Linked DNA regions of Notamacropus eugenii. The protein of the gene in region 3 interacts with the protein of the main gene of each other region in a pairwise test. Links are inferred from orthologs where the notes say so. Each region holds a gene or a part of one and is shown on either strand. Other genes may lie near its edges.

The links.
Region 1: the proteins of APOA1 (region 3) and APOC1 interact in a two-hybrid assay, tested with the Homo sapiens proteins (2 studies listed by BioGRID, with this or other methods). The link is inferred for Notamacropus eugenii from reciprocal best matches to the Homo sapiens genes APOA1 and APOC1.
Region 2: the proteins of APOA1 (region 3) and serum amyloid A protein interact in a two-hybrid assay, tested with the Homo sapiens proteins (2 studies listed by BioGRID, with this or other methods). The link is inferred for Notamacropus eugenii from reciprocal best matches to the Homo sapiens genes APOA1 and SAA2.

What each region holds. Positions count from the first base shown.
Region 1 is NC_092876.1:27,410,215-27,418,159, forward strand, and holds the start of APOC1 (apolipoprotein C-I), read left to right. Parts: upstream 1-4,914; 5' UTR 4,915-5,139; intron 5,140-5,342; exon of another isoform or gene 5,343-5,592; intron 5,593-6,498; exon of another isoform or gene 6,499-6,532; 5' UTR 6,533-6,663; coding exon 6,664-6,674; intron 6,675-6,976; coding exon 6,977-7,031; intron 7,032-7,385; coding exon 7,386-7,479; intron 7,480-7,677; coding exon 7,678-7,828; intron 7,829-7,945. Other genes in the region: APOE (apolipoprotein E), read left to right, coding at 1,874-1,919, 2,198-2,387, 2,856-3,531. UniProt on the Homo sapiens protein: Inhibitor of lipoprotein binding to the low density lipoprotein (LDL) receptor, LDL receptor-related protein, and very low density lipoprotein (VLDL) receptor.
Region 2 is NC_092877.1:36,342,344-36,349,324, forward strand, and holds the start of serum amyloid A protein, read right to left. Parts: upstream 3,032-6,981; 5' UTR 2,981-3,031; intron 2,336-2,980; 5' UTR 2,323-2,335; coding exon 2,220-2,322; intron 1,631-2,219; coding exon 1,492-1,630; intron 1-1,491.
Region 3 is NC_092876.1:135,302,861-135,310,341, forward strand, and holds the start of APOA1 (apolipoprotein A-I), read left to right. Parts: upstream 1-4,403; 5' UTR 4,404-4,473; intron 4,474-4,675; exon of another isoform or gene 4,676-4,730; intron 4,731-5,333; 5' UTR 5,334-5,414; intron 5,415-5,691; 5' UTR 5,692-5,713; coding exon 5,714-5,756; intron 5,757-6,037; coding exon 6,038-6,191; intron 6,192-7,481. UniProt on the Homo sapiens protein: Participates in the reverse transport of cholesterol from tissues to the liver for excretion by promoting cholesterol efflux from tissues and by acting as a cofactor for the lecithin cholesterol acyltransferase (LCAT).

The DNA.
Region 1 (7,945 bases), about 110 Mb from region 3:
AAACAGACTTGGGCCTCTGGGCCTAAAGCCAGTGTTCCCCTGGTGTGTCAGTGACCCCTCATATCCAGCTGTCTGCCCCCACACAAAACAACCTTTCAAAGAACTGGGCCCCCACCCTTCCTGCAGTATTCTGGACTGAGAACAGACTACAGCTGGCCCTAAGTTATCTTGTCCTGGTCTCCATTTTATGTGCCCCACTCAGGTCGTGAAGGCCATTCTTTGCCCCCTCAATTCAGCCAAGTGCCATGGCCCTCCCTGAGACAAGTTATCTTCATCCGGATGTCTAGATTCCTTTATCAGCATCCCCTATCCTTCATGGAGGCTGCCCCCTGCCCTAGAATTCCATTTAGCCCTCCCAAGAGGGGCACAGGGATGGACATTCTCTGTTCGGTCTTTGGAAGTGGGGGGCAGGGATCAGGTCAGGTTAGGCGGTGAGAGGTCAGCTTCCCAACCCCAGGAGGGGGGAAGCAGCCCTAGTGTACCGCCCCCAAAGCTGGGGGGGGGGGGTGGCATGGAGGAGGGCCATGCTCTCCTCGTGACAGGTCCGCCCTGGCCCTGGAGGAGGGGGCGGGGGTTGAAGCCCTATAACTGGAAGAGGTCCCTGAGCCCGGGTCCTACTCAGCCCAGAAGAGGATCTCTCTGACTGACCCAGAGGAAGCCCCAGCTAAGCAGCCAGGGCCAAGGTAAAGAAGCCCCAGGGGACAGAGGCTATGGGGATGGGTGAATAGAAATGCAGGCATGGGGAGCCTTGCACTAGCCTCAGTTGGCTCCTTGCCTTCAGGCAGGTCCCATCTGTGGGCTGTGGATGAATGCTGCTCCACTTTTGACATTCAATGTCAATGCAGAGTATGGTGGAAAAAGCTGAATTTGGAGAGAGGTCTGAGGTTCAAATCTCAGCTCTGCTGCTTAATACCTGTCTGACTTGGGGCTAGTCACTTAACTCACTCTCCTCTTAGAATGAGGAGGTTGGTTGGATCCGACAGCTTCCTTAATCATGCGGGTCCAAGATCCTAAGGGCAGCAGCCCTAGTAATACTCCTTATGGGGGATACAGACTTCTAGACAGGACGCCGGCTGAGCAAGAGACACAGAAAGACAGACATAGGAGAACCTAAAGGGATTCGGGAACAGAGGACAGATGTCCCAGATCTGGGTGGCAGAAAGGAATGCTTGGGTCCTGAGAGTGAGAAATGGGGGATGTGAGGGAAAGCAGCAACTCAGAACCCCCAGGATCCTGGGAAGGGAAATTGAGATTGGAATCACAGCTTGTCCACATCTAACATCAAGGCAGCAAACCAGAGTCAGAGGCTCAGGGTTCAAAGCCTACCTCTGAGGATGCTTACTGTAGGTGATGCCTTTGGCCAAGCGTTGAACCTCACTTTTTGCTCCTCCAGAAAACAAGAGGTTTAGATAAACTAGGTAGTCCTCTCCTCTTTCCAGGCTAGGATTCTTTTCAAGGTGGGGTGATATTAAGCAATCTCCTTTGCCCCTCTGATTAGGAATCGTGTTAATGTTTATCTAGCGGCACCCCTTAGGTCTTCTCGAGACAGTGGAGATTAGGATTTTGCATGGAAGGAATGAAATTCAGGAAGTGGGAGGGCTTGAACTTTGGAATCCAGATTTGAGGAAAAGACCAACAATGGGAAGAGATTTAAGATATAGAATACCCCAGGTCTAAAACCTTGGCTCCCTAACAGATAATCAGAGGAGGTTAGGAATACAGAATTAGGAGGCAACTGTTTCCTCATTATCTGTTGGTGGGAGTTGACTGATGGGCTTAGTGGGGGAGGACAGAATAAAGGGAGGAGGTCCCTGACTTCAGATAGACTTCTCTCTCTGCCCTAGCCAGACCAATCACCAGCTGTGCTGTGAAAATGAAGTTCCTGTGGGCATTGTGGGCACTGGCGGCCCTCTTGACGGGTATGCCCCCTCCCTGGACCTCTCCATTCCTGCTCTCCTCTGTCCTGTACCAATTTTCCCTCTCCCTTCAATATTTTCCCCAGTAGCCCCTCTAATCTATCCCTCCTTAGTCCTTCAGTCTGTTCTTACTCCCACTATCTGTCTCCTCCCATTTCTAGGATCTGTTTGTCCTTTCTTCCCCAGATGGGCTAAGCCCTCCCCATCCTCTGCTCCCACTCAGCCCCTGTGAGCTGGTTCCCTGGAGTCTCAACACTCCTGTTCATCTATCTGCCCCTCAGGCTGCCATGGAGAAGATGTCAAGACTTCTTCAGCGGACCAAGTTGCAGACCCAGAGCTCTGGAACACTGAGCCAGCCCGGGCCTGGGAGACAGCCATGGGCCGCTTCCAGAGCTACCTAGACCAGCTACAAACCCGGGTCGAGGACCTGCAGAGTGAGGTGCACAGTTTCCAAATAGTCAAGGACCTGAGGTGAGGACCATCCCCACCATGACCTCTGCCACTCAGGTCTCCCCCAACCCTGCCTTGTGAGTCTTAGACCTAGTAGTCCATCCCCAGCCATGGCCCAATCTCTTTTCTCCACTTGCCCAGGAAAATGGAAGCTGACTCCCACTGGCCTCACTGACTCCTGTCCACCCAATGTATTTCTGCCTCTGGCAGTGGTTCATCTGTTTCCCCTTCCCATTCTCCTCTCTCTGCTCCTTTCCATCTATTCCCACTTTTCTGGGTGCCCACCATCACTGCCCCCCTGTAGGTCTGTCTCCTTCCCAATTTAGTGCAGTGGACAGAAGTGGATTTAGAATCAGAGCCTTGGGCTTGATTCCTGTCTCTGACCCTTCATAGCTATGTGACCAGGATGAGTCCCCTCACCTCTCTGAGGGACCTCAGTTCCTTCATCATGTCCAGGTTCCAATCCAGCTTCCCATCTGCTCCCTGCAGGGGTCTTACGACAGACACTCTGAGCGAGTTGAACGATTACAAGGCTGAGTTGGACCAGATGCTGACCCCTATGACTGAGGATACCCGAGCTCGGCTGGCCAAGGAGCTCACAGCTGCCCAGGCTCGCCTCAGTGCTGACATGGAGGATGTGGGATCCCGCCTTGCCCAGTACCACCGAGAGTTTCATGCTGTGGTCAACCACAACATAGATGAGGTCAGAAACCGAGTCTCTGCCTACCTGAGGAAGATGAGGAAGCGCATTGGGCGGGACTACGAAGAGCTGCAGACTCGCATGGCCACCTACCAGACTGGTGCCAAGGAGGGTATGGAGAGAGGGTTCGGCTCCCTGAAGGACCTGGTCCCCTTGCTGGAGCGTGTCCAAGAGCAGAACAAGAAGAGGATGGCTAACCTGGGCACCCTGGCAGGGGAGCGCCTGCAGAACCACCTGGATCAGATGCGCAGTCGAATGGAGGAGGTCAAGGCCAAGGTGGACGAGCAGTCAACCCAGCTGCAGGCTCAACTGCAGGGCTTTCACGACCGCCTGAAGGCCTGGTTCCAGCCCCTGGCCACCGACCTGCAGCGCCAGTGGACATCGCTGGTGGACAAGGTTCAGGAGGCCATCAATCCCAAAGGGAAGCTGGGAGAGACACCCGATATGCCCCTCAGTGACAACTGAAAGTTCCCCAGACTCCTCCACAAGGCCCCCGTAGTTCACCCTGTCTCTCACCTGGGAGCCCTCTTATCATCACCCACCAGTGGACCCTCCCCTGTCCTCCCCCACAACCTGGGGAGAGGTGGATGCTCCAATCCCACTCTCACTCACACCAAGACACCTTCCGACCCCCTCACATCCACAGGGCAGGTCAGTGCACCCCATGGCTCTGGTCCTCAGTCCTTCTACTACCCTTGGAAGATGGGGGGGGCCCACATGTAGTCTAAGCTCAGGCCATCAATAAAGTGAAAGCTTGCTTATGTACCAACCACTGATTCTATGTTAGTCTGGGTTTATCTCTCCCTCAGGAAGGGATGATGGGGGAGGTGAGTATGGGCTGGATCTCTCTGTCCTTTTGTCTCAAGCTTTTACTGAAGTGACTCAAGATAATCCCTTTCTTCTTCCCTGTTCTTTCTGCATAGATCTCTCTTTCACTCCTCTCTCTGGTCTCTGGTCTCCTTTGGCCCCATAGACACCCCTCTCCTCTCTGCTTCTCCCCTCTTCCTTCTGAGATCTCCCTCTCTTCTCCCTCTCCCTTTCTGCTGCTCCCTCCTGCACCCCCTTCTCTGGGTCTTGACTGACTTTCTCACCCTTCTGGGTCTCTCATTTCTCCAACAAGTCTGGTTGGAGGGCTCCTGCTTGAGCTAAGTGGGATGAGGGTTAGAGCAAGGCAGAAGTCTCCCTGGGGTGTCTGGAACCCTAGATTTGAAAGCAGGGGAGAGGTCACCAGAGATAAAGATCTGGGAATCCTGGTAGGAGCCAAGGTGAGAGGGGAAGCCAGGGGAAAGAGGCCTCTCTAGGAGGCTTGCTCAACTTTTTCTGCCCTCCCCCTTGCCCCACCCCAACCTCTTTGGAAATTCCAGAGACACAATCCCCCAACCCTCTCCTCCCGAATCCTAGATCCCTTCACTGGGGAGCAGGCACTGGTGGGGTGAGAGTAGGAGAGTTTGGGGTTTCCCTTGCCACTGAAACCCCTGGACTCTCCCTCAACCCCAGCATTTTACAGAACCCAAGAAAACTTGCGTGAGAATCCTGGAATACTTTAGACTATAGACCATCAAACCCAAAAGGTAGTCAGGCGTTTAGAAGGGTTAATAAGGACGTTAAAGGTCATTTACTCCAACCCCTCATTTTTCTGAGGAGGAAACTGAGGCTTCAGTCATTTAACCTCATTTCCCACAGAGATCGGAATCCAGGGCCCTTCCCCCTCTCCCCACCCCGCTTCCAATGGGCCCCAGTTCCTCTGAAGAGCCGTCGGTCCCACCTCCCTTATTTTACCAAGAAAAAAAGAGGCCAGGAGAGGAGCCGAGAAGTAGCCAAGGTCAGCCTAGGGCTGGAATTCAGATCTCTTTGATTCCTAAAACCGGGGCCTCCCTTTGAGGCTGTCAAGTGCCCGGAAGGTTTTGCCGGGCAGAGGGTTATTTGTTAGACACAAAAACAGGGACTCCTCCACCGCCCCATCCCACCCCAAGGAAGGATGGTCACACTCCTTGGCTGCACGTATTTAATGTCTGGCGTCGGAGCTGGAGCTTTCAGAGGACGGAAAGAGAAGGCTTTCGGGAAGCTGGGGAGGTAAAAATTGGCGGGGTGGGGAAGAGTTGAGGAGGAAAGGGTTTTATTTTTATAACCTCATCTGAGTAACAAGAGGGAACTAAAGCTGGCCCTGGCGGTGGGAGATGAGCGAGCGACTAGGTGGAGGACCCTGGCTAGTCCAGACCAAGGGCTCTGAGCAGACAGGGTGACCAAAAACTGGGAGGGATGGGGGGGGGGGGGGGCGCTGAGAGGGGGGGTGCACTAAAATGACAAGTCTGCCCAGAAGAGCCTGGTGCAGTCCCACAACGTTCAGGGTGAGCGTCCTTCGCCTGGGAGCTGCCCACCCCCTTCCCTCCGTGGTCTAGAGGAGGGTAGGAGGGTGAGGAGGGCTCAGCCAACCCGGAGCCGCGGCTCGCGGCCGCCCCCTCAATGGGCCGCCAGGGGTCAGTGACGGTCAGCGCGGGGGGCGCCCACGACCGGAGATGCCCGCAAGTAACCCTGCCTGCCTTGGCTCCCGAAAGAGTCGCGGAGCTCCGGGAGCTGGGACTGAGTGGGGGGCCAGGGTGCATGGGGAATGAATAGCGGCGGCAGCGGAGGAAGAGCTGGGATGGGGGCTGAGAGAGTGTTTCAGTCCCTGAGTGGGCTGGGGAAGAGGAGTGAGCATCCCAGAACCCGGAGGGATCAGTCTGTACACGCTTGTGGTCCCGGGAGAACTTGGGAAGAGAAGCATCCTGAGGGAGGGAGACGATATCCCAAAAGGGAGGGGGGACACGAAGAGGGTGACAGGAAGGTGTCCGCACAGGACCTCCCATTTTAAGGTCATCCCTTTCCCCGAAAAGACGGTGAAAAAGAGAGAAGAAAACTTGGGGGAAAGAATGAGGACTTTGAAGGGCGGAGCGGATGGAGGAAAGAGCGAGGCAGAGGGAGCAGGGGCCTTGGGAAGGAGAGCTGGGGGGAGGGGAGTCCCAGGTCTGCGGGAAGGTCCGAGGACCACTCCCCGGGCGTGTTTATTAAACTCGGTCCCCCGTGAATTCCAATTCCCCCTTGAAGAAAGGGCACTGAGGGTGGGAGACCGGGAGTGCCAGGGCTGTGAGAGGAAAGGGGAGGGTAGAATGGGGGGGGGGGGAGGAGATTCAGGGTCCAGAAGCACCCGAGGAGAGAAAGGAAGGTGTATTTGGACTGTAACCCCTGTGGAGATGAGGGATGACCCAGGAAAAAGATGAGCGTGAAGAAGCCGATAATTGGGAGACTCTGATGTCCCCTCTCCCTTATTTTTCCTGTCCCTCCCCTGGGATTCTAAGGCTGACCCTCTCCCCGTCTCCTTTTCTCCGGACATTGTTCAGTTGTTTCTCCGTCATGTCCAGCTCTCCAAGACCCCATTGGGGGTTTCCTTGGCAGAGCCCCTGGAGGAATTGACCATTTCCTTCTCCAGCTCATTTGACAGATGAGGAAACTGAGGCCAGTTGTGTGAAGTGACTTGCCCAGGGCTGGTTAATTAAGTCTGAGGGTGGATTTGAATTCGGGTCTTCCTGCGCCAGGCACGGCGTGGACCAGAAGACTTTTATGGGTATGGGGTGAGTAGTGGGAGGGCTGTGAAAGTCTCGGTGCAGTGTAGCGCGGGGGGCGGAGTCAAAAGGGGGGGATTTGGAAAGCTGTAGGTGTGGGACGGGGAGGGAGGTGGGGACCTGAGCTGGGTCTTTGGAGATCCCAAAGGGACTTGGATGGGTCTCGCCTCCTGCCTTGGGGCAGGGAGGAGAGAATCCAGGAGCCTACCGGGAAGTGGAGGCTGAGAGGGAGGAGGGAGGAGGGGGAGGGGACGAGAAAGGTGAGGCTTTCTGCGCTCCCCGCCCCTCCCTCAGCCCTCTTATAACCGCAGGACGGGGCGCTCTCGCCCACACCCAGTCCAGCAGGTCAGGTCCCAGTTTTTTTCGGTAAGTGCTGGCCGAGGTGCGGAGGGATGGGAGGAGGGAGGAGGGTCTCTGGGGAAGCGGGGGCCCCTGGAGAAGTCACATGGGGGGTAGGGAGGTTAGAGGAAAGGGAAACGGTGTGGGAGGGGAAGGATCCTGAGGGGGAGAAGGGGACTATTTTGTGAGTGGGGGCGCTGAGAATGTCTTAGACTGCCCATCTAGGGGCCACTCTTACTTGTTTCAGAGATGAGAACCCCAAGAGAAGGGTTCTAGAGCACATAGATAGATCAGGGTGGCTAGAAGTGAGAGGGAAGATGAAGGGAGCCCAGGGAGCAGACTGGGGAGACAGTGACAGCGAGGCCACTCTCTGATCCCCAGGGCTCGGGAGCTCTGCTCTCCTCCTCCTCCAGCCTCATCATGAAGCCCTTCCTCTCCTTCGCTGTGCTGGCTGCCCTTCTGTACTTCGTAGCAGGTATTTGGGGGGGGGGGGGGGGGTAGGTGACGGCTGGCTTCCAATCTCCACCCACACCCTAGGTTGTACGTCCCCCTTCCCCGAGCCCAGATTCTAAGGACACCATCCCTAACCCACTCCTGTCTCCAAGGTCCCCCAATTCCAGGCATTCCAAGTGTTCTGAGTGCTCAGGGGTGCTCTGGGTGCTTTCCTTCCCAGAAGGCCCCAGCCCAGCCCAGGCTTCCCCCAGTGTGGCTGAGGACTTCCAGCATTTCCAGGAGAAGGTGAAGGAGCTGGCAGACACTGTGGCCAACAAGGCCAAGGAGACCTTCACCAAGATCCAGGAGAGTGAATTCTCCACCAAGACCAGGTGTGGCTCCTCCCCCTCCTCATCCTCTTCCTCCTTCTCCTCTTCCTTCTCTTCTCCCTCCTCCTCCTCTTCCTCCTTTTCCTTCACTTTCCCCTCCCCTCAGCATCCCACATGAAG
Region 2 (6,981 bases), on a different chromosome or scaffold from region 3:
AACTATTGGAAAAACTGGAAAGCAGTTGGGCAGACATTGGATCTAGATGAACACCACATACCACAGCAAGTTCCAAATGGATATAGAAGTTCAAATCATCAAGAAATTAGAGGAAGAAGGAAGGGGATGCCTTTTATAATGAAGAGGAAAAGACTTCTTGCACAAATCAGTAGAGACAATCACGAGAGGTAAAAATAGACTATTTCAATTGTAAAGAATTGAACAGCTTTGCACAAACAGAAGGGATGAAGTTAAATTAAAAGAGAAACAGTGAACTGAAAAAAAGTCTTCTTGGCAAGTTCCTTCATAAAAGTCATTGATGGCCAATATAACTGCAGAAATGATTCAAAGACGTAAGAACAAAAGGCCTTGTTCAAATGGCATGAATGGGAAATTGTCAGAAGAAGAAAGGTAAGATAACAGTAGTCATATAAAAATGTTCCAAATCACTAATAGTAAGAGAAAGATAAATGAAAACAATTTTAAAGTGCCACCTCATCTACATCAGACTGGAAAAGATAACCAAAAAAGAAAATGAACATCCTGGGCTGGGCCATAAGAGGATAGACAGACTAGTTCACTGCAGATGGAGCTGTGAATTGGTACAGCCATTCTGGAAAGCAACGTGGAACTCTACCTGGTGAATAATGTACAAAGTGAATAAACCAGGAAACCATTTATTCAGTGGATATCACATCATAAAGAGAAACAACTTTGAAAACCTAGGGACTCATCTCAACTCAATGAACACAAAACTTCAGAAGATCAGTGAGGAAATGTGCTTCTCTCATCTTGATGGGAAGCTAATGAACTGGAGGGGAAAGGTGAGGTATACACTCTCAGCAGGTCAAATGTGTGCACCAACTTAGCTTGACATTACTAATTTCCTATGAAGGAAAGTTTTCATTAAAATATTGTCAGGGAAGAGACTTTGAAAGAAGAAGACCTGAAATGAATGAAAAGAAAAGAAAAAGAAAAAACAGTATCAATGAAGCCTTTCAGAGAGCCCAGGAGGGACCAGAAGGAAGTGTATGGGAAGGCGCTGACAACCAGGACAGCTTTGGGACTAATGTAATGAATGAATAATATGCTTTTAAAACGTGGTGACAACAGAGATTCACAGTGACATATAAAGTTTTCTATTTTGTTATTTTTTATATATGGAAATATTCCTGTTTGATGGTGTCACACAAGTTCAGAATAACTCCCAATAAAAAAATGCTTAAAAAAAAGTCAAATCCTCTCTGAAGTCTGTCTTTCATCTGATACAGGGTCAATACTGACAACACATCAGGCCCTGCTGCTTCCTCTGTGGGACAGACCAGACTGATGGCTACTGCTCAGGACCCTGCTCTGGACACTATGGGAAACAGAGAAGGAGGAGCACCTGCAGGGTCTGCAGTGAGTTCATCCATGGGCCTTCCTAGGCCTCTGAGAGTCCCCAGACAGGCCAGATCTGCTCCACTTTCAGGATCATTCCAACATTCTTACCTGAGCACTTCAGCTGCCCAGACGCCCCCAGGTCCTCTCTTAGCAGCATCATAGTTCCCACGAGCATGGAAGTATTTGTCTGAATTTTTAAAATTGGCTTCACGCATGTCCCTGTAGGCCCTCCACATGTCCCCAGCACCTAGAAAGGGAAGAGGCAAGAGGCATAAGGAGCAACATGGATCTGGCTCTAGTGAAGACAGAAACATCATCCCCAGGTTCAAGATTTCTTAAATGGATGCCATGGGAAAGCATCTCCTCAGCCACTGGTCCCCAATGGAAATGAGATGCGCCTTATAAAATAAGTGTCCCTTCACTACATTATCAATGCTTAAAATATAAAACAATGGGTTCTAAAACAGAATTTTCCACTGAAAACATATTTTAGCTCCTCCTTTATTACTGCTCCATTTCTTTCAGATAAGATTCAGAATAGCAACTTTCATCCTGAACTGAGCCAAAGATTCTTTCCTGTTCCATAGCCATGGGGGGCTCACCAATGCAGCTAAAGCATCTCTCTTTCCATTGGAGGGAAAGGTCCACACCCACCAGCCCTGCCTTTGCCACTGCTCAGGTACCAGATTCTATTTCTGGCTGCATCTGCTACCACCTGCCCTTCTACCTTCCAGGTATCTGCCTTCTGTGAATAAAACAATCTTCCTCCTCTTATCATTCACTGCTTCGTGCAAAGCAACTCGAACAAAGGAGATATGCTCTTGAAGAGGCCTTACCTAGACGAGCCTGATTAAGGAAGTCCGCAGTTTCTCGAAACCAACCCTGACTGTTGACACACAGGACCAAGGACAAGAGAAAGAGGCCTGTGAGGAGCTTCATTGCTGCTGGAAGGCTGCAAGTAGAAAGAAGATGGATGCTCAGAGACCTGCCAATGCTCATGAATCCCTGTTGGTTTTCCTTTTTTATATTCATTTTTCTGTCTCCACATTTACCTTTGCTTTCATGAAGTCTTTCCTTTTTGGAAGGACACGTTTGAAATATCCAAAGGTACTTGGATTGAGAATAACCCTTCCATTCTAACTGGGTTCCATCAGCTCCATGGAAAACCCTACTGGGTTCCCTTAGCATGGAGAGGGTACCACTCAGCTTTTGGGAGCTGCTCCCAATTTTGTCATTCCCCTCTAAAGGTCAGGGAGTCAGCAAGCAGTGACTAAGCTCTCAGGAGGTATTCTATTAAACAATTCAATTAAATTCAAAAAACATTTCACAGTGTGTTTATTAGATGCCAGGTTTTCCACTATTCCTTGGTGATTAAAAAAAAACCAAAAGGAAGCACATTTAGGGTCAGGGAGCTCACATTCCACAGATACATTAACAGGTTTTGTTTAGACCTAAAGCCACACAAAGCAAACAGAAGGCAAAGAGCCTGCCCACAGCAATGCTATCACCTATGCCGTGACATATGTCATGTATGCATCGTGGCAGAGGATCTCAGGAGGAGGAAGAAAGGCCAAGTCTTAAAGAAACATGAACTCACCTGAGGTTCCTTGTCCTTTCTCAGGTCAATGGAGAGACTCAGCTCTGAGGCCTGTGGGGTATTAGAGAGGAGGCTGATATTTATACAAAGTTTTCTGGATTGAGTATTTTAGCCACTTGGGTTCAAGGTGAGTTGGGGAATTCCCCCTTGAAAATTTTTCCTGACAAATAATAGAAATAGGTGCCCAGAAACACAAATCTGTCATTTTCCCAGATTGCGAAATGTTCAACATGGGTATTCTTGGGAGGTTTTCCTTTTTTTACAGATTTCTTCTATGCTCAGCAACTGGTCACCTTAACACATCAAACCAGACAAGCACCCACACTGAATGTCATGGATGCATTGCAGTCTCTGTAACCCATTATTTCCAATCTATAGAGGGCTGGGGGAATAATTTCATTTTTTAAAAAACTGTCATTTTTGTAGCTTTTTAAAAAGCACTTTACACATCCCTCTTATTTGAACTTCACAAAAACCTCATGAGGTACATTTAATTTCCATTTTATAGATGGAGAAACTGAGGCCTGGAGATATAAGTGATTGGCCCATAGTGAAACCCACAGATACTTACAAGGTTTAGGCAAAGCTTACTGAATTAAACTTTTATTTGTTTTCTAGTTTTCATTTGTGTCTGAGCCTCAGCTCATGCCATTCCTCCTTTATGGGAAGCTCCCTCCCTCTACCAGTGTCAAACATGACCTCCAGGATGCACCAGATCTGCCACTTCCTCCATGACATCTTCTCTAATTACTCCAGACTACAGGAGCCCTCCCCTTTTCTAGTCTTTCTAACTTGCACTGAGTTGACCCAGCATGGCTGGATCTGTGTGTCAGAGATTACTGTCAAGGACTCTCTCCATATGTACTTGAAAAAAGAAACATATGTTTCAGCCATACCTGAGTACTCTACTTATTCGATTGGAACTTGTTTAAGAAGGAAAAGAAGAAATAAAATAAAATTTTAACCCCATGAGTTAAGTTAAAAATGTTAAGTAAGGGTCATGGTGATATTTTATTCTAATATACCAAGATAGGTAACAAGAGAATTATTGGAATGAGTTGTCTGATCAACCTGGAATAACCACTAAGGGATTGAAGAGACACACAGGCCAATCAGGGGTCTTGTGACATTCTAAAACAGCACAAGTGCCTCCTCCATTATGGTGTTTCCACATCATTATCTAATCAAACCAGAAAGAAGTCTTTCTTTTGAGAAAAACAGGAGGTTGAGAATCAAAGAAAGAATATGACCATGTCTTAGGGTGGATATGAAAAAGCAAAATGAGAACTGATGGCAGAGAGAAAAGAGAGATGTTTAAATACTTTTTTGTTGTGTTTTCTGCTGACAAGTATGGTCTGTGGACTGGCAAGGGCAGAAGATACATGATTATAATCAGTTACAATAACAATATAATATAATAATCATTAATAATGGGAACATCACCCAATTAATATATAAAGAGAGAGAGTGTCTAGGGGCTCTAGGCTTTCTTGAACTATATCGTGGAATACTGCAAGAACAGAGTTGGGATGGTTTTGAAAGTTCAAATAAGAGGAGTATTGGACCAGGGCGAACACTGTGCATATGTTCATCAAAAGGAAGAGAGGGCGTTCTTTAGACCATGTGGGTCTTCAATCCCTAACAAAACTTTAGAATGTATTATTAAAGGGATGACTGATGACCCTTGAGCAGAAGAAGCAGGGGGCAGAAACGTCCACTCAGAGTCGTTCTTGAAACAGTATTGCTGTGACTGTATACAGTGTTCTCTTGGTTCAGATCATTTCCTTCTTCATTACTGCATGCAAGTCTTTCCATGTTTTTCTAAGATCACTGACCTGCTCATTTCTTGGGTAACATTCCATCATTATCAATTTGTTCAACCATATTATGCTATAAAAGGAACAGAATTCTAAGGGAAAAATGCCCCTAAAGATGGATAAAAGGAAGGGAGGAATAAATGAGAGAAGACAACCTCAATGAATCCCTTTTGCACTCAATGAGAACAGGTCCAACCCTTTTGTTGGTGTGCTGTCTACCCATAGTGGACGTCTGGTCTCATGTAACAATCTGAGATCTCTCTAAGCCCAAAGCTGGCATAGTTGTGATTTGCAAGTCCCTCTGCCCGGGAAGCTTTCTCATTCATCCCTGAAAGCTTGTGGGAGGGACTTCTATATGGACTAGGCTCAGTGGCCTTTAAGGTTCCCTCCAACTCTGATCTTTTTTTTCTATTTCATTCCTTAAGACTGTGATAGGTATTGTAGAATAATGTAGAAGTATAAGACACTTCTCTCACCCTCACAGAGTTGACAATCTTCTTGGGAGAAGTAGATCATTATCAAAGAATGAATGGCTGTCATGAATGTTTGCTGCTGAACTGTCTTCCCTGGCAATGGGAGATTCTGCTGTGTTGTGCAGGGGGATTTATGCAGCTCTCTGACTGAGTCCTTAGAATCAGGCCTCATTCCTCAGATCCTCTCTCACATGTACTGTTTGTGTTAGCTCTTCTGCAATCCAGGAGCTGAACGAGAACCTTGAAAGATGGAAGGAAAGAGACATACTGTAGGAAGCATATTATTCACCCACAGTATTGAAGCCTGAGACCCACACAGCCCAAGAAACATGAGAGAGACAAGGCTAGGCCACCACAGATGAACTTCTTGGATCTCTAAGAACCAGCTCTTTCCCCTCTCCCACACACTGGGAGTGAAACACACAGAACTGGTTTAACTGGCCAGTGCATGTCAGCACTGAGGTGGTTTAAATGCCAAATGACTGAAACATATTTCTTTCTTCAGCTACATATGGAGAGAGTCTCTGACAGTCATCTCCAACACACAGATCCAACCATGTTGGGTAAGGTCAGGGCAAGTTAGAAAGACTAGGAAAGGGGAGAGCTGGAGTAATCAGAGAAGACCTCATGGAGGAAGTGGCAGAACTGGTGCATCCTGGAGGTCATGTTTGACACTGGTAGAGGGAGGGAGCTTCCCATAAAGGAGGAATGGCATGAGCTGAGGCTCAGACACAAATGAAAACTAGAAAACAAATAAAAGTTTAATTCAGTAAGCTTTGCCTAAACCTTGTAAGTATCTGTGGGTTTCACTATGGACCAATCACTTATATCTCCAGGCCTCAGTTTTTCCATCTATAAAATGGAAATTAAATGTACCTCATGAGGTTGTTGTGAAGTTCAAATAAGAGCGGTGTGTAAAGTGCTTTTTAAAAAGCTACAAAAATGACAGGTTTTAAAAAATGAAATTATTCACTCAGCCCTCTATTTGTTGGAAATAATGGATTATACAAACTACAATGCATCCATGACATTCAGTGTGGGTGCTTGTCTGGTTTGATGTGTTAAGTTGACCAGTTGCTGAGCATAGAAGAAATGTGTAAAAATGGAAAACCTTCCAAGAATACCCACGTTGAACATTTCGCAATCTGGGAAAATGACAGATTTGTGTTTCTGGGCACCTATTTCTATTATTTGTCAGGAAAAATTTTCAAGGGGGAATTCCCCAACTCACCTTGAACCCAAGTGGCTAACAGACTCAATCCAGAAAGGTCTGTATAAATATCAGCCTCCCATCTAGTACCCAGCAGGCCTCAGAGCTGAGTCTCTCCATTGACCTGAGAAAGGACAAGGAACCTCAGGTGAGTTTATGTTTCTTTAAGACTTGGCCTTTCTTCCTTCTCCTGAGATCCTCTGTCACGATGCATAGGTGACATATGTCACGGCATAGGTGATAGCATTGTTGTGGGCAGGCTCTTTGTCTTCTGTTTGCCTTGTGTGGCTTTAGGTCTAAACAAAACCTGTTAATGTATCTGTGGAATGTGAGCTCCCTGACCCTAAATATGCTTCCTTTTGGTATTTTTTTTAACCTCCAAGGAATAGTGGGAAACCTGGCATCTAATAAACACACTGTGAAATGTTTTTGGAATTTAACTGAATTGCTTAATAGAACACCTCCTGAGAGCTTAGTCACTGCTTGCTGACTCCCTGACCT
Region 3 (7,481 bases):
CAAAGCCCGCTTGGGGGCCTGGCCTGGGACCCCAGCCTCTACATTGTCAGGACTTGAATAAAGCTGACAGGGAAGTAAATCTTGCTCTTTGTGACCATCTACCTCCCATTCTCCATCCCAATTCCATCTCCAATACCCCTTCTTCCCTGACCCCAGATAGCTGGTGCTCAGGAGCTACTTAGAGTCCTCCCCCCACCTCTGTGACTCCTAATCTGCTATGGCTTAAATCCTTGGCCTTAAAAAATGCCTCTACACACAATTTCCTTCTGTAACTGATCAAAATCTGCCCCACTCCCTGTACCCATTCATTCTGTGAGATTATCTGAAACTATGTGGTCCTTTCTCCCAAGAACAGTGTCCTTGATTAGACCTCAGAAGATAAGTAACGTTAGCCCTATCAGAATCATGAATACTCATCTAGCCTATGTTAAAACATTTTCAGTGAAAGAGTAAGCTCCGTATTTCAGAAGGCAGCCTATTAAATGTAGAAGAGTAGATTTAAATCCCTTCCAAAACACAAACCTTCAGATCTTGGAAAGCTATCAGTGTAGTCTCCTGAATTTTAAAGCTAAACAACTGGAGTTCGTTCGTTTCCTGAGCTCTCCATCTTGGTAACCTCCTCTAAATTCTTTGTAGTTGCTCAATTTCCATCTTAAAATGTGGTGCCCAGAACTTAGAAAAACAGCCCTGGTGCATTTGACCTGCAGAGAATACAACGGGATTTCTATTTTTGATGGAATTTGTTCATCCAAATGAATCTCTAATCTATGGAATATACATTGGGGAAGAGAGGAGTATTTTTTTTTGGAGGGGGGAAGGCAAGGCAAGGCAATTGGAGTTAAGTGACTTGCCCAAGGTCACACAGCTAGTAGGTGTCCAGTGTCTGAGGTCAGATTTGAACTCAGTCCTCCTGACTCCAGGGCCAGTGCTCTACCCAGCTGCCCCAAAGGGAGGTATTCTTAAGCAACAGATTACTCCATGAGTCATCTGGTTGTCAGCCTATCAGCTGGGTATCCATTTCCTTAAAGGTTGCTGCTGATGCTTGCTCCAGCACCTGTTGAGAACCCAAGGAAGGTCATGGGTGGGCCGGGGAAGGGGGAAGGGGCGGGAAAAGGGTGGTATATAACAGCAAGCTACTGAACTGAGAAGCAGTATGGTAAGATGACAATTATACCATGTTGGGTTTAGAAGCTTACTCCCAGATCTGTAACAGATGACAGATATATAAATACATATGTTGTATACATATATATAATATATATGTTTATATATGACATTCTACTGCAAATCTAGGAATAGGTATATTGTATATATGTGTATACATACATATATATAATATACATATACATAATATATTGTCTATATTATATATACAACATATAAACATATATACACACATATATCAGTATGACCTGGGTCTAACATTAAATCGCTTTCCTGGGCCTCAGTTTTGTCATATATAAAAAGGGATTGGACTAGAATATAGTTGAGGGGTGGAGGACCTGTGGCCTCAAGGCCTTGGGTGTGACCCTTTGACTGAGTCCAAGTTTTACAGAACCAATCCTTTTTTTAAGGGGATTTGTTCTGTGAAGTTTGGATTCAAAGTGCCACATTTGAGGACCTAGAGGGCCACATGTGCCCTTGAGGCTGCAGGTTCCCCACCCCTGATCTAGTCATTATATGTTCAGTAAAATTCCTCCCAGTGCTATGAATTGATGTTAAAGAAAAAGTATCTCCAGACTTGTACGAATAGCATGTCTGTGGCTAAAAGTACTGTGCAGTGTTCTGGTTGCACACCCCCTGGTCATCATGGTACAGTGGAAAAAAGCCCTGGTTCTTGGAGTCAAATGCTCACTGTGTGACACTCGTTTTCCCTGGGCTTGTTTCCTCATTTGTAAAATTCTTGTTGTTGTTTAGTCATGTCTGATTCTGTGATCCCATTTGGGGTTTTCTTGGCAGAGATACTAGAGTGGTTTGCCATTTCCTCCTCCAATTCATTTTATAGATGAGGAAACTGAGGCAAATAGGGTTGAGTGACTTGCCCAGGGTCACATAGCTAGTGAGTGGCTGAGGTCAGATTTGAACTCATGAAGATGAGTCTTCCTTACTCCAGACCTGGTGTTCTATCCACTGTGCCACCTAGCTGTCCTATTTTTGTAAATTAGAGGATCGTAGGAAAAAGAGTTAGGGACCTGGGCTATGCTCCCTCCATATTTATGATCCTAATGAGTTCCTATCTTCCAAACTTTCCTTCCACCAACTTCTCCCAACTATCCCTGCATTCCTTCTTTCCTTCTCCATCTTTCCTACCCTACGTTGGGGAACCATCTCCATTCAGCCTTGATCTTTATCTTGCCATTGGACCCAGATGGTTCTGGAGTAGAGAGTGAGGCCAGTGACTTTGCACAGCCTGCCTGTCATGACATCACCTGCCTGATGTCATGGTCCTCTTCGAGAACAAAGGACAAACACCCACAACTATATACTGTCACATGTTTTCCCCCAGTTGTTTATCTGAGCTAAGACTTCCACTCATCTAACCCTTACCCCTAGTCACTTAGCACAGATAAGCATGAGTGCTGACATGAAGCTCCTGGATGGAGTTGTTCTGACCATGGACATCTATGGGAGTGTCCAGAGGAATCAGCTTTCCCTCCCAGGGCAGCTGGGGGCTAGAGTGGATCTTCTGGTTTTGCTCTGGATATAAACACATTACAGGAGAGACAATGAAAACTGAGCCTGTGTTCACAGGATAGGGAGCAGGCCTGAGGGTCAGAGGAAGGGGGAAGGAATGTGGGAAAGAACCGAGAATGTTTCACCTGGAGGAGAGGAGGTTTCTTCAGGTAGAATGTGGTAGCTGTTTTCAAGCTATTCAGAGGGCTGCCCCACAGAAATGAGATTGGTCCTGCTTGGCCCCAGAAGGTAGAGCGTACAGTGCAGGGAAGCAGATTTTAGCTTAACGTAGGACATTCCCAGAGCATTAGCGCAATGCACCAATGCAAGTGTTTCAATCTTTAGTAGTTTAAGAATTTTTTTTTTGGAACACCTGGACACCCCATATAAGGAGGAACTCCCTAGCAATGAAAGCTGGCCAGTGAAATGGGTTATCTTGGCAGAGAGTGAGCTCCCTGTCATTAGAATTCTAGCAGAGGCTACAACCACTTGTCTGAGGTTGAATTCAAAGACTTCCAAGGTTCCTTCCATTTCTGAGATTTTGTTATTTGTATGTAAACCCAGAGATAATGTGTTTGCATCAAGACTTTCCTCCTTGATGAAGAGCGTGATTACTTGATGGTCTATGCCTGTGGGAGGGATTGGAGTTGGCCAGAAACTGGGAGAGGAGATGTTGCTTTTTCTGGATTTTGCCTTCTAGACCCATGGTTGTAGGTTCTCCTCAGGGAAAGGCCCCTGAAGGAAGAGATGAAGAATTTGGGGAAAAGCTGACCTGCTTGAGGCACTGACTGCTTCCTCTACATGGCAGCTTCTTGCCTCCAGAGAACTTTCTTGTAGGTACAGAGCATTAAGCGTGAATCCTGCCACCAAAGAGGAATGTGTTGGACAAATTCTCAGGCTGGAAGTCTAGGTTACACCCATAGCTACATATACTATCCCATTTGATCTTCCCAGAAACCTTGCGAGGTGGATGACAGGTATTCTGATTGACATTTTAAGGTTAAGAAACTGAGGCCCAGAGAGCATAAATGATTTTTCTGAAGGTCACATGAGTAGTAAATTAAAAAGCAGGTAGTAGTTCTCCTGGATTCCAAACTAAGGGGTTTTCCTACTCATCCTCTACAATCCCAGTGGGAAATTGTTTCCTCCAGCATTCAGTAGTGCAAGCAGCTTTCAATACCATTAAGTTACCTGTTGTGTACAAAGTTCAGTAACAGGTATTAGGGCAGACACAGAGGAGTGAAGATACAATCCATACCTTCTATCTAAGTTGGAATCAGTCCATGAGAAAAACATTTGCAAATCAACAGAGAACTCGAGACAGGTAACAATGGGTGATAGTGTGCCATACTATACTAAACCACAGGGTCATCCATTTGGAGCTAGATCAGTCCCCACTAAATATTTTACTGATTGCCTTGTAATTGCCAAGAAATTGAAGCCTTCAGGTGCCATGACATCCAAGCCTTTGGTCATTTATCAAACTGAAGAATAATGATGCTGCTGCACATTACATACACGATATCTTTGTTAATCTTCATTGGGTATTATGTGTATGACTTTTCCCATAGTACAGATGAGGAAACTGAGGCCTTGGTGAAGTGATGTACTTCTAGTCTCACACAGCTATGGACAAGTCAGTCCTAGTTAATAGCTGACCTATGAGTCAGAGTTCAATGAGTCAGCCGGTGGAATCTTTCTGGAAGAGGAGCTTGAGGCAGGTTTGGGAACAGCCTGGGTTAGTAGAGAGAGACCATTACAGAAATCACTGCTACAGCTTCCCCTGACTTCAGAGACCATGTGTGCCATTCTTCACTTTTCCGGATGTTGGGGGGTGGAACAGATAAGAAGTGTGGAGACAAAAAGCTTGCTTCTTGCACTTTCCTGCTCCTTAAAGAGGGAAGGGGGAGGGTCAGCACAAGTGATCCCTTCTGAGCCTTTGTGGGAAGCCAGGCAGGGAGTCCCTCTTACCTCCCAATTCCCCCTCCCCCATTCTATGTGTGAGTCCCTCCCTTCTGGGCCCAAGGTGAAGTGGGTAATGAGACCAGCCAAGGGAAGTATGATGGAGTCTTTCTTTCTTCTCACCCAAGGTTTTGGAGGGGAGGGTTAGGACCCAAAGGAGCAAATGTGGGGCCAGCATAACCTAGGTCTGGGGTGAGGAACCAGCGACCTGGAGTCCACATGTGACCTGCCAGGTCCTCAGGTGTGTTCTTCTGATTGAGTCCAAGTTTTACAGAACAAATCCTTTTATTAAGGGGATTCGTTCAGTGAAGTTTGGATTCAGTCAAAGGGACCTAAAGACTTGAGGACCTAAAGGGCCACATGTGGCCTGGAGGCTGAAGCTGAAGGAGGCTGAAGACCCTGGCCTCGGCTATGCTGGCTATGCTGGCCCCTAACCCCAGCTAGCTTTACAAGAATGAGATTACTCTCTGCATGGGGTTTTTCTTGTCTGACTCCAGCCTATCCCTTGCCCAGTAGACCATCCAGGATTGCAGAGCCAGAGCTAGGTCCCCCTTGGGCAATCACTGCCCCCACTTTCTGTTTGCCTACCTGCTTTAGACCTAGGATTTCAGGGGAGCGGGGGAGGAGAGACAAGTTTGACCCTTGAACTCTAAGTTCCACATGTCCTTCTGAAGGTTTACCTTATCTCCCTGCTTTAGCCCAGCCCTCATTGGGAATATAAATACCAGCTCCTGAGGAGAACTACCACCCCTGATAGATCACCTGGAGAGAGCATTCAGGTAAGATCTACCAAGCCAACGCTGGCCACTTGACTGGGCTTGTCTGGGATAAGCTTGGCCAAGCCTCTGAGATTGGCTGACCTCCAGATGTCTCTGACCTAGCAGGAGAAAGGGATGCAGTAAATGTAGGGAAGGACACTAGGTATTATATAGATCCAGGTTTGGACAGGACCCCTTCATTTTATCGATGAGTAAGCAGAAAGCCAGGCTTCTTTCCTCAGCCTATGTGATTAGCCTTGCCTTCTCAACGATTTAAACCTCTCTCCTCTCTCCACAGGTCATAGGAAGAAGTCCTCAAGATGAGAGCTGTGATTTTGAGCCTCTCCCTGCTCTTCCTCACAGGTAGGGGCCAACACCAAGCCCCAGATCCCCAGTCAGTCAGGAACCTTCCTCCCCCTTTATTCAGATTACACTAGATGGGATTGGGAGAAGGTGGGTGGCAGGAACACTTAACACAAAATTTGCTCTCATTGACCCTGGGCTGAGCTAGACAACTGTCCCCTCCCATATGCTGTCTTTGCTCACTCCTAGCTCAGAAACTCCTTCTCTCTGGCACCCCCTGAGAAAGGACAGTCAGGCAGAGGGTGGTAATGACTTGGTTCTGTCTTCTTCCTCTCCTCAAGGGAGCCAGGCCAACTATTTCTGGCAGCATGATGAACCTCAGACACCCTTGGAGCAGATGAAGGATCTCTTAACTGTCTACCTGAATACCGTCAAGGACACTGGAAAGGAATATGTGTCTCAGTTTGAGTCCTCTGCTATGGGCAAAGAACTGGAGTAAGTAGAAAGAATGACTGGCTGGTACTCAGGACTAAAAGCTCCTCTGAGGGGTTTGCTGCCCAGGGTACAGAAACCTAGAAAGTCCAAGCTCAGGGAAGGACTGGACACCATGGGATACCATGCTTTGTTCTGGGTGGGCTCAAAGTACAGTCTGTCCTGTGGTGCCAGGGGAGGAAGCTACTGGGTCCTCACTTTCCCCAAAGGGGTGAATAGGGAGAATTAGTGACTGCTGGACCCCAGAGTCCCCAGGGATGGCTTCCTGCTCCTGGATTTTACCTGGCCTGGCAGACTTAGATAAATTGCCTCCTCACCTTCCTTCCCCCAAGGCTTCTCCAAAGCCAGCTTCCTCTTTTGGGCATTTTTTTAAGCTTAAGAAAAGGAGACTTAAGTTAGGAGAAACCATAGCAGGAACGATGCACCAGGGGTATCAGACAGGGTGGGTCAGACTCTTCCTGAGTACTGTCTGCCCAGGGATTCACTTTCCTTGTCCCCAATACCTATTTTTCATTTGGGAAGCAATTCAACTCACTTCAATTCAACAAGCACCTACTAAGTGCCAGACAAGAGCCTGGGCTCTGGGAATACAAAGAGAAAAATAGTCCCTTTCCTCAAAGAACCTTGATTCTATTGGGAGGAAACAAACAAACTCAGATAAGTAAATACAATACATGGGGTTATACCAGATAAACAGAGTGGTTTGGGAGTAGGGGTGGTAGGGCACTAACTCTTGGAGAAATAAGACTATGTCTCTGTGAGGTGGTCCCAGGGGGAGGGAGTTAGGGCCTCCAAAGAGGCAGATGGCGGGGGAGTTCTAGGTGCAGGCAACAGCTTAGGTCTAGAGATGGCAGAGAGACATTGTGAGAAGCATCCAGTAGCTCTTGTTTGTCTGGGATGTGGAATGTGGGAAAGAGTAGTATCATAAAGTGAGGTCAGAAAGATAGATCGGATGCTTGGGAAGTCGCTTGAGAGCTGACATTTTCATACTGAAAGCGATGAGGAGCCATGGATGCTTTTCAAGCAAGAGAGTGACACAGGCAGATCTGTGCTTTGTGACTAGTTGACTGACACAAATGATAATGATCGCTAACAAGATATGGTACTTACTATGTGCCAGGCACTACGCTAAGCAATTTACAATTATTATCTCATTTGACCCTCACAACAGCCCTGGGAAGTAGGTGCTATTATGATCCCTATTTTATAGATGGGGAAACTGAGGCAGGCAGCAGTGAAGTGACTTGCCCAGGGTCTCACAGCTAGTGATGATGATGATGGTTAAAAATTATA